Canis lupus familiaris: one gene and its partner. The protein of the gene in region 1 purifies or fractionates together with the protein of each later gene. This does not show direct contact. Links are inferred from orthologs where the notes say so. Each region holds a gene or a part of one and is shown on either strand. Other genes may lie near its edges.

Evidence for each region.
Region 2: the proteins of EIF4A2 (region 1) and EIF3H purify together in Homo sapiens (affinity purification with mass spectrometry; 3 studies listed by BioGRID and IntAct, with this or other methods). This does not show direct contact. The link is inferred for Canis lupus familiaris from reciprocal best matches to the Homo sapiens genes EIF4A2 and EIF3H.

What each region holds. Positions count from the first base shown.
Region 1 is NC_049255.1:19,521,980-19,529,931, forward strand, and holds the start of EIF4A2 (eukaryotic initiation factor 4A-II), read left to right. Parts: upstream 1-3,355; 5' UTR 3,356-3,442; coding exon 3,443-3,471; intron 3,472-4,310; coding exon 4,311-4,356; intron 4,357-4,444; coding exon 4,445-4,577; intron 4,578-4,691; exon of another isoform or gene 4,692-4,760; intron 4,761-4,861; coding exon 4,862-5,001; intron 5,002-5,793; coding exon 5,794-5,962; intron 5,963-6,064; coding exon 6,065-6,174; intron 6,175-6,360; coding exon 6,361-6,504; intron 6,505-6,545; exon of another isoform or gene 6,546-6,721; intron 6,722-6,803; coding exon 6,804-6,941; intron 6,942-6,989; exon of another isoform or gene 6,990-7,121; intron 7,122-7,184; coding exon 7,185-7,274; intron 7,275-7,300; exon of another isoform or gene 7,301-7,442; intron 7,443-7,497; coding exon 7,498-7,577; intron 7,578-7,952. UniProt on the Homo sapiens protein: ATP-dependent RNA helicase which is a subunit of the eIF4F complex involved in cap recognition and is required for mRNA binding to ribosome.
Region 2 is NC_049234.1:16,489,454-16,496,816, reverse strand, and holds part of EIF3H (eukaryotic translation initiation factor 3 subunit H), read left to right. Parts: intron 1-2,403; coding exon 2,404-2,571; intron 2,572-4,094; coding exon 4,095-4,194; intron 4,195-5,375; coding exon 5,376-5,525; intron 5,526-7,363.

The DNA of each region.
Region 1 (7,952 bases):
TCAAGATCTTCCCATTGATTTTTATGCATAGTACAGTTTTGCATGTACTGATTTGAAGTACAATAATGTATTTTTATTTTAGTCTTTACGAAGGTAGAGCTGAAAAAAAAAAAAAAAACCAACAACCCTCCATATCTTGGTTATACAATAGAATGTAAGAACGTTGGGTTAACAGGTTTAAACCCAGTCCTTACAGTTTCCACAGTCCCTTCTGTGGTCCTCCTCAATTTTCTCCATTTTTTTCAACTCTCTTAATCGTTACTTATCTTTATGCACATAGTTTTCAAAGTTATTGTGAAGAATGTGTGAGGGCTGCCCTCCAAATTGCTTCAGTGGACACCGCCTACGTTTAGGCAGAAGCTAACTTCTTATTTCCTCCAGCAACGGAAAGGAATGATAAAGAGCTAAGTAGCACTACTGTCCCTATCCAGCTCAAGGCAATTCTTTTTTTTTTTTTTTTTAAAGATTTTATTTATTCAGGATAGATATAGAGAGAAAGAGAAAGAGAGAGAGGCAGAGACAGAAGCAGGCTCCATGCCAGGAGCCGATCCTGGGACTCCAGGACGGTGCCCTGGGCCAAAGGCAGGTGCTAAACCGCTGAACCACCCAGAGATCCCCCTCAAGGTAATTCTTAAACACTTAAATAACAGATGTAGGGACAAGCATGTATTATATTGTGTTTACTAAAGAATAAATGACATTAATAAGTAATGAGTTAAAGATCCAAAACACATACCTTTTAAAAATTATTTATTTATTCACGAGAGACACAAAAAGCAGCAGAGATGTAGGCAGAGGGAGAAGCAGGCTCCCTGCAGGGAGCCGGATCCCAGGACCCCAGGATCAAGACCTGAACCAAAGGCAGATGCTCAATCACTGAGTCACCCAGGCATCCCCAAAACGCAAACCTTAACCAACATGCATATCAATAGCCTCCTGCTTTAAACGCGTAACTATCACTTAAGATCTGATAGACTTGAAATAATGTAAGAACCTCAAAAGAATACATGTACTTTCTTTAAGAAGCCATCGCTTTCAACATAAAGCATATTGTTTTTAAGGTTTTGTTGCATACTGACATATTCGTACTAATTCCTTGGTTCCTCTGGTGAACAATGGCTTACAATTGCTAGCTGGGTTTAGATTGTCAGCTGAGGCTTTCCAAGAGTATAAATGGCCTCACGTGATCCAGGTTAGCAAAGAAGCACTTGCAGTTGACTTTGAGAAAGCTCTAACTTTAGATCTCAGGAAAGTAGAAAGTTTATTTTAACCATAGAAGAATATGCTCTCTGACATGCACACTTTGTTAATAAGTGTATTTTGGATCTACAATTCATTTGTTACCTCATGGTGTTTAGTAAGCACAGGCAAATGTGGTAAACACAGCGTTTATTAGAAATACATTGTAGGGTTGCAGGCACTGTGAGTCTGGATTTTGACTCTGAATTTTTTTAAAGATTTTATTTATTTTTTTCATGAAAGACAGAGAGAGAGAGAGAGAGAGAGAGGCAGAGACACAGGCAGAGAGAGAAGCAGGCTCCCTGCAGGGGGCCGATGTGGGACTAGATCCTGGGACTCCAGGATCACACCCTGGGCCAAAGGCTCAACTGCTGAGCCAGCCAGGCGTCCCTGGATTTTTGATTAGAAAGATTTTTTACCTGGAAACCCCTTCAACTGTGACCTAAACCAGAATTTAGCCCTTATTTCCTTTTAAGAAATTCTGGAAATGTAACAGTAGTGCTAAACCTAAAGAAAACTCAACAATTTAGGTGTTGATTGATGACTGATTTCACCTTGTGATTGATTGGTTTCACCCTAAAGACTCCAGTGAGACTAAATGGTTGGTCATTTTTCTGATTTAGTATTTCCTTTGGTTTCTCAGATCCCTGGAGAGTTTTAGTAGGTTTATTGAGACAATAAAGATCTTTGACCTCCATTTGCAGAACATATCCCGCATTATCTCAAATCTGAATTTGAACATTATTACAGGGGGATTAATTAGGAGCAGCATCCCTAAACTGAGACCTACGCCTACTTTGTCATCTCGGTATTAGTTTTTCTCAGAGTTCTTGGCACAATAATTTTTTTTTTTGAAAGCAATGTATTTAGAATCAACCATCATACGCAGACGTAGAAAATTATGTCAGTTTTTCCAGGTAGCAGATCTTCGGTGGCCTTCTGAATTAACGAGAAAAATGTTTCCCTGATGATATCTCGCAGTGTGGGTAGTATTTTTAAAATGAAATGACTAAATGCATTGGGCCTACCCCAGGCCTGGGTCAGGGCTACAGTCGGAAACCTCCGCGGCTTCAAGAATCGTGCAGTTTATTTAAGCAGCAGGGGTTGTATCGCTCTCAATTTCCACTAAATCAACATGCATTCGGTATGAAGCAATTAAAGTTCAAAGCCTTTTGGGGGAAAAAAGAAAAGAGCAACATAGACCCGAATCAAAAAAAAAAAAAAAATCTATCTAGTCCCAAAGGGGGCACGGAGCTCTATCTGCCGGAAGCGTCCATTTAAATTCCTACGTTGTAAGGAAAACCAGTCCTTAGCTGTTAACCATTTGCAAAAGTTCAGGATGATTTTGTCGGGCATTCATTCCCCACGCGTTAGGGCGGTCAGCGTTATTTTTTAAGAGCGAGCGAGCGAGAGGAGACCGGGGGCAACCTGAGAGCAGCGTCGGCTGCCGCGGGGACCCCTGCAAAGGGCACTGCACGCTTTTGCCTCGCTTGGCACAGTGCCCTGCGGTGCGCCGGGGGCACCGGGCTTCGGGGACCTGCTCGGAGGCCGACATTTTCCCGAGCAGGAAGTTTTCACACTTTTAGGCTCTGGATGGGTGTTAAGCGCCCCGCCGAAGGCCAGGCGGCTCTTCCCCGGAGAATTAAGCCGCGGGGGGAGCCGGCGGGGCAGCCCCAGGTGCCCCCGTGCAGCGCGAGGCCGCGCCCCCGTCCCCGTCCCCGCCGCCGCCGCCGCCCCCACCCCCGGGCGCCGGACCGCAAGCTCGCCCCGCCGCCCGCGGGGAGAGGCCGGCCGCCGCGCACGCAGCCGCCCCGGGCTTCCGCCTCCCGGCCGCTCGCTCCCCCGGCCGCCTCTGCTTCGGGGCCGCGGAAACCCCGTAGGAGCGGGGCGGGCCGGGAGCGCGGTTTGGCCACCGCTTGCTGCAATATTCTTCCGCCGCGAGGCAAAGAGTCCCAGCCGCCCCCAAGGCCCCGGCATGTCCCGCGGCCCCGTAATATCGAGAAATAACCAAATTTGGGTTTTCCCACCCACTTGCTTGGGCTATTCTCCGAGGTAAGGACCCCAGGATCACAATTTGGTGGGCGACCGGAGAGCGACGAGAAAATTCCTCCGCGAGAAAACGGGTTCCGGCCGCGAGCCTATAAAAAACGGGTGGCGCGGCGCCGCTGTCTTTCCAGTCGGGCGCTGAGTGGCTCTTCGGATCATGTCTGGTGGCTCCGCGGACTATAACAGGTACGGCGCTGCCGCGGGGCCGGGGGTCGCGGCGGGTCGTGGCGGGTCGTGCGACGCCGGCGGAGGTGCTGGCGGTCGGCGAGCAGCCTGGGGGCTGCGGGTTCGCGGGCGTTTCCTGGAGGCTCAGCGCCTCTCTGCCCTTCGAGAAGCTTCCATGATGGGTAGGGCCTGGCCTGCGGGGAGACGAGGGTACAAAAACGGACTGGTTGGAGGGGCTTTTTTTTCCCCCCGTCCCCTCCCGAAGACGCCCTGGCATCCCGGGCGCGTCCCCCGCCCGCCGGCGCACGTTTTAGTTGAGCGGTGGCGCAGTCCGCAGTCGACACCGTGTAGCGGGGGGGGAGCTCTACCGGCGGCGGAAGGCGCGAGTTGCAGGCTCGGCTTTGGGCGGGGGGAGGGGACGGCGGCGCCCGCCCGCTCGCCGGCCGCGGCCTTGCGGGCGGATGGGGCCGCGCCGGCAACCGGGTCCCCGCGAACCGTTGGCACCGCTCTCGCCGGGCCGCGGCCCGCGTCAATCACCGCGGCTTGCGCAGTGTGAGGGGCGGAGCTCAGCGCGTGGAGCTCTCGCGAGACCGGCTGGCGCCGAGACGGGAGCGCCTGGCGCTCGGGCTGGGGGAAGGGCCGGCGGCCGTGGGCCTTTCCTGGGCGTCCCCTGTGGTCGGCCTTGGGGCGGGCGCGCACGGAACGTGACGGGCGCTGCGCCGCCGGCTCCCCGGACTGCAGGCGCGGGTGGTGCGCACGTGTGGGGAGAGTGGCCGGCCTAGCCTAGGCCGTCCCCGGGCCGTGCAGGTAAGAGGGCTGGGGAGAGGGACGTTCTCTAACTGCGGTGTTCTTGTCGGCAGAGAACATGGAGGCCCAGAGGGAATGGACCCCGATGGTGTCATCGAGGTAAGACCTCTGTGTTGGATTCTGGAACGTGGGCAAGGTGAGGTGTTCATCCGACTTACTCAGGCGTCCTTTTGTGTGTGATTTACAGAGCAACTGGAATGAGATTGTTGATAACTTTGACGATATGAATTTAAAGGAGTCTCTTCTTCGGGGCATCTATGCTTACGGTTTTGAGAAGCCTTCAGCTATTCAACAGAGAGCTATTATTCCTTGTATTAAAGGTAAACGAGCTAGCTAGCCCTTTTTGAAACATGCATTAACTGTTCTACATAACTGACCTGGACCATAAAAGGGAAAGTAACTTCTGGGGGAATAGCACCTGTTTGTATTCCTTAAAGTGAAATGATGGCAATCATCTTTCGGGACTGACCTGAAATGAAGAGAATACTCATTGCTGATCACTTGATTATTTGGGCATAATTAATGTTCCAAACGGAATACATGGTGTGAACTAGAAGTGGCGGTTTGATGTGGGATCGGTAAATATGTATCCTACTTTTTTTAGGGTATGATGTGATTGCTCAAGCTCAGTCAGGTACTGGCAAGACAGCCACATTTGCTATTTCCATCCTGCAACAGTTGGAGATTGAGTTCAAGGAGACCCAAGCACTAGTATTGGCCCCCACCAGAGAACTGGCTCAACAGGTATTGATAGTGTAGTTCAAAAAAACTGCTTGCGTGTTGCATAGGTTTCAGGTTTCACAACTGTGAAGAATTTAAAACTTAGTATAAATTGGTCCTATCGATAGGAGCCCTCCTAATTGTCCATGCATGCAGGGAGTTTTTGTTGAGTTAAAAATAGGAACTGGGTGTGCAGGTATGGTTTGCAGGGTTGTGTAACAGATTTGAGAAACCAAAGTGTTTTCAGGGTGGACTACATCTGTTCCCATTTTTAAGTTTGAATGCAGTTGTGCAACATGAAAACTGCAGTGACATGTTATTTGACTGTCTCAGTAGTTTGTGATGCATCTGTTGCATGCTATGTTTTCAAAGCTCACTGCTATATTGGCTTTGAAGTAAGACCTTGCTAATAAAACTAGGTTTTATTAAGGTCGAAAGGACGTAAGCTCCAGTACTTTGGGAAAGACTAAAGTTACCAACAAGTTGTCCCTAGATGTGCTTACTTACAGAGTTTGTTCCATTATTTACACCTTCCTACACAATGAAAAGCAATGTAGGAAATGATGTAACTAAAATCATTTAATTAACTTAGGTGGTATCTGGGGTAACAGGATCCCAAGTTTGACAAGGCACAAGGAAGACACGTTAAGGGACTTTTGTCATGAAACAGATCAGTCTGCATTTTAAGCTTGGAAGTAGTTAAGTGCTGTGCATGCATAGAAGCTATTTGCAGACCAGTTATTTGCTGTTATGCTTTGGAAGTTTAGTCACAGCCTGTAATTCTGCTGTGTAATAATAAAGGGTTTTGGCTTTTAGATCCAAAAGGTAATTCTGGCACTTGGAGACTATATGGGAGCAACTTGTCATGCCTGCATTGGTGGAACCAATGTTCGGAATGAAATGCAAAAACTGCAGGCTGAAGCACCACACATTGTTGTTGGTACACCAGGGAGAGTATTTGATATGTTAAACAGAAGATATCTTTGTAAGTATTGCTGTCTCTGGAGTATAGTTTATTTTAAATTAAAAGTTTGAATAGTATCCCTGTGGATTTAGAGCTGATAGTATGTTTGGCTTTCTTGGTCAGCTCCAAAATGGATCAAAATGTTTGTTTTGGATGAAGCAGATGAAATGTTGAGCCGAGGGTTTAAGGATCAAATCTATGAGATTTTCCAAAAATTAAATACAAGTATTCAGGTGAGCTTTCGTTTTTACTCTTTCATATAGTAGCTGGGGGCTTAGGTTTAATGGAAGTTAAAGTACAACTGAAGTCTTTGTCCCGCTCCCTTCTTAAAGCTATTGGCACATAACTATGACACTTGGTTATAGTTTTACTGTGAAAGTTGGCTATTTGTGTGACAAGATAATCATTGTCTTTTTAAGGTTGTGTTGCTTTCTGCCACAATGCCAACTGATGTGTTGGAAGTGACCAAAAAATTCATGAGAGATCCAATTCGAATTCTGGTGAAGAAGGAAGAATTGACCCTTGAAGGAATCAAACAGTTTTATATTAATGTTGAAAGAGAGGTAATTTGTCTAATTACTATTAAATTTTGGTTTTTTATTTAACCTTCTTGTATAAGCACTGTGCTAAAATTGCAGAAACTAGGATTGCCTTAGTTTTTGTAATAATGCTAGCAGAGTACACACAAGAAGAAAAGTAACTGCACTGGATTGTAGAGACTGGGGTGGACCTCTTTCTTAATGTCCAGTGTCCTTTGTCTTAAGATTTGGTGCAATATGTTTTAGAATGGCCTAACAATGAATTCTAATGAACATGAATTGGAGACTAGATTTTAATGACTGTTAACTTTGAAAAATTGTAGGAATGGAAGTTGGATACTCTTTGTGACTTGTACGAGACACTGACGATTACTCAGGCTGTTATTTTTCTCAATACAAGGCGCAAGGTGGACTGGCTCACTGAGAAAATGCATGCCAGGGACTTCACAGTTTCTGCCCTGGTAAGAGGTGTCCTAGTAGTGATAATTATGCTCCCCGACCCCCCATTAAAGCAGGATTTAGACTACAATATAGCTGTTAAGTGCTGTGTTGTCGTTCCCCCTGCTCAAAATAAAGCTGTTTCTTAACTATACCTGTCTGCTATACCCCTGTAGCAGCCAGGGACGCTTGGTCTCATACATGTCAGTAAAATTAAATAATTGATTTGACTGGTGATTCTTGAATTAAGGTTTGTTGATTTGCAGCATGGTGACATGGACCAGAAGGAAAGAGATGTTATCATGAGGGAATTCCGATCAGGGTCAAGCCGTGTTTTGATCACTACTGACTTGTTGGTAAGTCTCTTGCTGATCTTTTTAATCTACCAAAAGTTTGTTTTGGGGGGAAGGTTTTTTAATAACCTTTACCAGATTGGGCTGTTTGGGAGATTAAAGAAAAGACCACACTCCACAGTGGGCTATATCACTTAACGTATAGTTCACTACTATTTTGTGGCCTACATTATGTATCTGTGTACAGTTTTAAATTAGAATTTGAACATATACCATTGTATTGCAGGCTCGTGGGATTGATGTGCAACAAGTGTCATTGGTTATAAACTATGATCTACCTACCAATCGTGAAAACTATATTCACAGGTGAGTAGGTGGCATCTTGTTACTATATCGGTGAAATAAATTCATGTGTGACTTTTCTACAGACTGATTTGTTTGAAAGGCAACTTCATTATCAGGGAAGTAAAGACGTAGTAACTTGGTTAAGATGTCAACTAAATTTGTATTTGGGAAGATTGGTCATCTGCAGTGGGAAAACAGTCGTAAATGTTGCCCAAACTGTGGATCAGGTTGTTTAGATTTGTTGGTCTCAGCTTATTTTTGAGTTTTTAGTGATCTCGTGTCCATGTGCTTTCTTGGTGATTGTAGTTGGGATTTTCTTGGTGTTGTCTGGTAGCAATTTGAGCAGTCCCTGGTTTTTAGTTATAGTGGCTTTATCCCTAAGTAAATTGAACTGTA
Region 2 (7,363 bases), on another chromosome or scaffold:
GCAATAGTGAAATTCCACTGCCTTGTAGATTTTTAGAACCAATTTATCAACTTACTTGTCTTGTTCCTACCCCTTACATTTTAATACTTATTTACCATATTTAGGTCATATGAAAACTCTTGTGACCTTAAAAATAGGTTTTTATTAGAGCCTTGCAAACTCATCTCTCTACTTGTAAATTCTCAAGAAGTGAATACACTAGAGCAGTGGTATCTCCCATAGACAAGCCTTCTATTCCTTAGTCTCTTCCTACCTGAGAGGAATACTTTATTTTCATTCTTGTCCAAGGGGTTGTAAAGTAGGTAAGATTTTGAGTGAAGAAGGAATTTGGAGGTTTGCTACTGATCATAAAGTTTATTTTACCTCCTGCATCCTGAAAATGCTATTATAAAACATTTTGTATTGAGGCTATTTGGGGACTGACTTAGTAAGATTACCAACTCTTTTTCAGAGGAATGCATTTTTAAGTATCAATGGATGCTGGAGGCTCTGCTTAGTTTGTAGTAAAATTACTACTTATAATTAGCATATTCAGTGAACACTGTGAAGTCAAAACATTTTGACTGTGATGTGCTCTCAAATCTTTCTGGAGATGGGAAGGCTGAACATCGGATAAGGAGCAATAACTGGACAGCAAGATTCCCCATAGAAAAAGAATCTAAGATCTAGTATGAGAACCTAGATCCCAAGATTCCAAGTCTTTTCTTTTTTTCCTACTGTTGTAAACTGAATCTAACTTCTGCTTATAACACACCTAAATTGTATATTGGCAGATATTTTGAAAATACTGATTTTAAAAAATCATCCTACACAACCACATTTGTACTATCAATTGCTTGGTAATCTCTCCCCATCTCTTCCCTACTCCTTTAAAATGAATAGTAAATTTAGTCTGACTCCTGTTATACTTGTGATATTGGAACTTTGTGTGCATTAAATTTGATTAAATTCCATTAGACAAAAGAGTGATTTTACTTTAAAAGAGGGAATTTTAAAGCAGAAAGAGACCATAGCAATGGTTCTATATCATATTTTTGTGGTTGGTGTGTATGAATCTGTTAAAGGGAAGGAGGTCTGTTAGGTGCTGGAGAGACAAAAATTTAAGTAAAAGGTGGTTGATATACGATTATCATATTAATTTTATATCACTTCTTCTTGAGGCCATCATATTTGTATATAAAAGAAAAACTAAAAAACTCAATTCTTGAATAGTTAAAAAGTTGGCTGCCATATTTTATCATGAGAATTATAACCTTCCTTGGAATAGCAGATTTATAATTTCTTTGCCTAGTAACAAATGTTGAAAAATAAGATTGTGACATCTGAGGGAGGTTCTTTTTTACTTCATGATCCTGAATCTTGTTTGTTTTATAAAACCGTAGTGCTATAACCAAGGAATTCACAGGCATATCATTTTACTTTTGCTAAAACCTGATCGAGAGTTTTAAAAATGAAATGGTAAGATTCCGAGTTAAGCAAATATATTTATTCCACATAGCTGTACATTCATTATAATAGAAATAGCTTGGATATTATGTTGACTATAAAATTTTCTCCTGTATTACATACTTGCTACTCATTATTGGGCTTTATTGCTTCTTAAAATCTTTTACTTGTTATGGTCTCAGTTCGCACCTATTCTAGAAATATTGCTTTAAGTTAATGTTATACATTATAGTCATTAATTTGATGAAAGTGTAGCCTTTCAGCCTTTTCATTCTATACATGGTGATTAACATATAACTGATGAAAAATTAATATCTGTTACTTAACACAGAAGAACATACAAATAAAAAAAGAATTATTTTTAAAATTTAGCATATGCAGCAGGGGGCACCAGATGAAGGCAAAAATGAATTCTTATATTTTAAATCAGCTACAGCTTGTATTCTGTTCATATTTAAATAATATGGTAGTTAATTGTTTCCCTATTCATTCTCTTGATGATTTTAACCTCTCAGTTCTAAAAGCTGAGTTGAAAGAGACTTTGATAAGTATTCTCACTTTACTAATTCAAATGAATATCTTAAAAAACCAACCAGTTTAGCAAATACACAAATCTTTTTCTTAAAGATTTATTACTATTTTTAAGAGTTTTAAGAAATGAGTGAAAACTACATTTAATAAATAATTTCTTGTTTAGAACAAGGCATTAATGTGTTCTTAGTAAGTTTTCTACAGTAGGTCGTTTCATTATTGAAAAAAGGAAAGCTTCAGTGATTTGAAATGATTTGAAAGCTTAAATTCGTTTTTGTTATATGTGAACTGATTGAATTTTAAACCTGGAAACCTGTGCCCTTTAGCTAATAAATGGTTGTGTAAAAATTCATTTCAAAAAAATCTTGTTTTTACTATTTGTAGCATCATTAGTTTTTCTTTTACTCCTCTGTCCCTGTCATCTAGTCCAGTATCAGATGGAAATGATGCGCAGCCTTCGCCATGTCAACATTGATCACCTCCACGTGGGCTGGTATCAGTCCACGTACTATGGCTCGTTCGTCACCCGAGCACTCCTGGATTCTCAGTTCAGTTACCAGCATGCCATTGAAGAATCTGTCGTTCTCATTTACGGTTAGTAGGAGTTTCCTTTATTATTCTTTTCTTCCCTTAATGTTATTACTACTATTTTTGCTTTCTGTCTTTTTGCCTCTAAGAGCAGCCTGGCAGGCCTTCTCAAGTAAATACCAACCCTGTTTCTGCAGCAGCCTCAGCAGCAGCTAAGTCTAGACAGGGTTTCCTTCTTTCTGTTTATTTTTCTTGCTATCAGAGCCCTGATGTGTACATTTTGGAATGCTGGAGTAGCTGCTTCATTTTTATTCCTCCATCTCCCCTCCCTCATTTGAAGGGGCTGGTGGAACTAGACCAGATGTCTAACAAACCCCAATTGCTAGAGTGTCTGGCTCTGTACGTGACTGACCAATCATAACACAGTGTGCCAAGTTTTTTTATACCTCTGACAGCAGCGTACAAAACCTGGACTGTTTCTTAGCACAAAGATTTTTTTCTTTTCGGCCTATTTAATGGTGTTTCCTCAAGCTCTCCAGACCAGATGTTCTGTGCTGTATCAGAACTGTAGGCAATTTAACAGCTTTATAGCCTTCCCCCTCCCCAAACACTCACAGTTTGCCATATCTGGCAGACTTGCATATAGTTTCCAGCTGAGAAGTAAATGTAACGTCCTGAGTATCTGTCAGAAAAAATACTAATGAATACGATCAATCTTATGAGCTGCCCCAAAATTGTTTCAGTATGTTAACAATTGGATTACAGTAAAGAACAAGTTGTTAAAGTGTACTTATATTGGCTGGAAACATTGCATCATCAGACCTTGATGAATTTTCCACTTGTTTCAATCTATTTTGGTTTTCATTTTATCACCTATTGCTAAAAGTTTCACTGTGTTAAGTTTCAGACAACATGAATGTTAACACAGGTTTTAGGCGAATATTGGCATGCCGGAGCCGTTATCATGCAGCAAGTGCTAAGCTCCCTTACTCATGGAGTGTGTAAGCAGCTAGTTTTGACCAAATAAGTTTCTCTGAAACTAAAAAGACACTTTTGTGATAGCACTTTTTAGTCATTTTTAGAATCTCTTTTAACTAAAAAAATTGGACAATGATTACTAGGATGGATAAACTTTTGTTCACAGGGCCATTCATTTAAATTAGTCCACTGAATTACACAACTTCATGGTGTATTTTCATATTTAATATTCATTAATATTTTTCTTCTAATTATACAAGATGAATATAAGCTGGACAGAACATAGGAGATGTTTAATTTTCACCAAGATTTCTGGATCAAGCAGACGAATAGGTTTAAAAATAACTGCATTTTGAATCTTCTGTTTTTACCTTAGGGAGGAAGTTACTCTACCTATTACAAGTAGGATGATAGGGTTCCTATGTTTTTTCACTTAACTATTTGCTATATGATTTGAATCTGCTTCAGACTGAGTTCTGATCATTTATTTTGATCTTCATTTTGCAAAGATTGTACGATTAGTAATAGTGTGCCTAGAACCAGTGTCATTCAAGCAAAGCAATGGCAGTAACAAAAGTGTTAGTAATTTCTTTCTCTTTTCCTTATTTGAGATCCCATAAAAACTGCCCAAGGGTCCCTCTCGCTGAAAGCATACAGACTGACTCCTAAACTGATGGAAGTTTGTAAAGAGAAGGATTTTTCTCCTGAAGCGTAAGTGTTTGGGGGCCTGTGAGGCATATGGTAAAGCATTGGCTGTTTTCCTCTTAAGATTGTAGTTTGCCACATTTATTGAATCCTTGGTGGTGGTGGTGTGGCAATGCTTTTGCCATGTGGACTGTAGAAGAGTTTTGCATGGCCAAGTGCCTCTTGATTTCTCCCTTTCCATGTTTAAACTGTTCTTTATGGAATGTCTCATCTGTTGTTCACACTGTGTATGAATTCAGTTGGAGGGGGAATTAAATAGCTACTGGATTTGAAGAGAGAGAATGGGATGAGTGACCAGTGGCTGCCATAGCTCTGTGTCAGGATAATTGTGAGCTATATGTCTTATGTTCTGGGTCCTATTTCATGAAGGTGGGGATGGGAAAGACATAAACATTTTAAGGTATCAGTAAGGAATGTGGCATTTTGGAAATTTTATGGGTGCTAGATATGCACAGAATTAATTGGTAAAGCTGTTTTATGATTTTTCATAATGGCATTGGAATATTTGTTAAAATTTTTTGAAAATTAGAATTCTTTCATTTTCTGTTAATTAAGGGAATTTTGGTTTCTTATTAAAGTTAGCAGCTTTGGGACAGGTTTTTGCTAGTTTTCCAATAGCTTTTTAAGAAATTAGGTTGCAAAAAATTTTAAAAGCTAACTCATGAACAACTCCTGGGTATGGTAGTTAAAACTAACTTATGAGAAACCATTTTCTTGCTGTATTCTGAACTATTGTATATAAGATATACTGTGAGTGTTCTGCTAGTTGTTAATTTCTTTAGTTTGGTAGACTTTTAAAATGGAACTTTCCAAGAACTGCAGTATTTCTCTTTTCCAGCTATTTATTTAAATGTTTTAGATAGAAGTTATATAACATAATTTCCCATGACATTTACATTTTAGTATCAATGAAATTTTGAAGATACCTGATTATAAAGAAAGACTAGTTTCTTCTGCCAAGAATCTTGTTTTTGGGGCTTTATAGCTCAAACTTGGATTGTTTTCAATGTTATTCATATCATTCAGCTTCAGCTTGACTCTGTAAAACTAGTTTCTCTCTTTTTAAAAGAGTGCTAATGAAACAGAGATCCTGGAGAGGGCCTGTAATTAGGGAAAGATGTATGAAATAGTCAATTTAACACTTACTTCTGACCACCAGACTAAAGTATTTTTAACACGCTTCACAGATTGAAAAAGGGAAATATCACCTTTGAGCACATGTTTGAAGAAGTGCCGATTGTAATTAAAAACTCACATCTGATCAACGTCCTAATGTGGGAGCTTGAGAAGAAGTCAGCTGTAGCAGATAAACATGAATTGCTCAGTCTTGCTAGCAGGTAAGTGGCCCTGTCTAATGAAAAGTCCTTTAAAAAAAAAAAAACAACAACAACACTTTCTGTGAAAATATTCTTTCACTTAGAATTTAACTCATGGACCAAGAAAAAAATTACCCAAGTACATTTTGAGGTTCTTAGGACCTGTATTACGACACGTAGTATTTGTCCAGCCCTGCTGAGAATTCAGGAAAAAGGCCAAACTGATAAACAGTGTTCGAATACTAATAATACTGTTATAAGAACCCTCTGATGCCTTTGTTGTATTATTTTTGCTTTGATACGGTAAATGCCCATGAGGGAGGGCTCTTTGGGGGAGGGGGTGCTTAGCTTTATTGTACACTGTCCTTAGAGGATTATGGTATTATGTCTGGATGTTCAATAATGCTGAGGAAAACTGTGAAAAATGCAAATGCTTCTTTGTTTTACTGGTAGCACTTGCCCTTGTTCAGATGCAGACTCTTAGTGAATTTCCAATGTGGCTTTTCAACTAAAATTAGAATTTTCCGAATCTGACCCTGGCTTTTGGTATCTTAGATGGGGGTGACATAACTTCCTCCATTGTGACTGGTTTAGCTATCTAGTTGCTAGATATTATTTATTGTATTGGTAAAGTGCTGACTGATGTGTTCCAAATAGATTATTTCCTTTATGGAATTAATGTTTCTTTTCTATCATTTATTGCTCTTAACAGAAATATAAGCAGAATCATCTATAGGTAGCTCCTATGAAATCCCCTGTAAGCTTGATCTTGGTGATTGTTTTGTGGTGGGAGTATGCTAGCAGCAGACCTGTAGAATGAAATTAAATAGAGTAGTAGGTAGTCAGTATGCATTTGTTGAATGACTGGAAGAAACAAGGTATGTTTTCTTAAGCAACCACTTTGGAATAGAAGCACAGTTGTTTATCAAGTTTCTCTTATCCCAGATAGAAGCTTATACAAAAGAATCTACAGACTTTGTACTTCTTTGTTATAAGACAACTAGGGTAAACCCAGGAGGACCAGAGAACCCAGTGTTGTTTTCTGTGCTCTGGGGTGGATAGGACTGTGCTTTAAGTGCCACTTTTTATTGCATGAATCCATCATAGGGGCCACTAGAAAGTCTGTACAGAGGAAGGAGACGGAAACTGCATGGTGAACGGAGTGCTAAGTAATGCAGCCAGCTTGCAAGGCTAATTTGGCACTGAAGAGTGTACTGTTGACTGCAAACATATATTCATAATAGTCCTTTAATTTGTCTCTTTTAGAAGGTCATACTTTTCTTTATTGCTTTTGCAAACACACTCAGCACACCTGTACTTAAAGCATTGCGCTAAGAACATTTCTTTAGTGTGCAAGGTTACAATTTGATGTATTAAGTATATGTAGTTATACAGTAATTTTAAATTTACTACATGAAAGCGTTTGCTTATATAATTTATGCCTTCACCTTTTCCAAGTTTATTGAGCATACAAAACAAATATAGCCTCTTTGTGCTTTAAATTACCAATGAGCTGGTCCATAATGTCTGTTTGTCCAAAATAGCATTTTTCAAAAAATTTATTTAAAACATTTTATTTATTTATTTGAGAGAGAGAGCATGAGCGGACAGAGGGAATGGGAGGGCCTGATCCCAGGACCTTGGGACCATGACCCGAGCTGAAGGCAGACACTTAATGGACTAAGCCACCCAGTTGGCCCCAAAACAGCATTTTTAATAGCCAAGAAAACGTTCCCAGTTTGCCATAGCAACTAAGATCTAGAAAAATGTTTTATTATAGTTTTTATCTTCTGTATTTTAAGTGAAATTGAAAGAGGGGCCCCTTCTTTTTCGTGTGAAATTATTTAAAAGGTAAATTT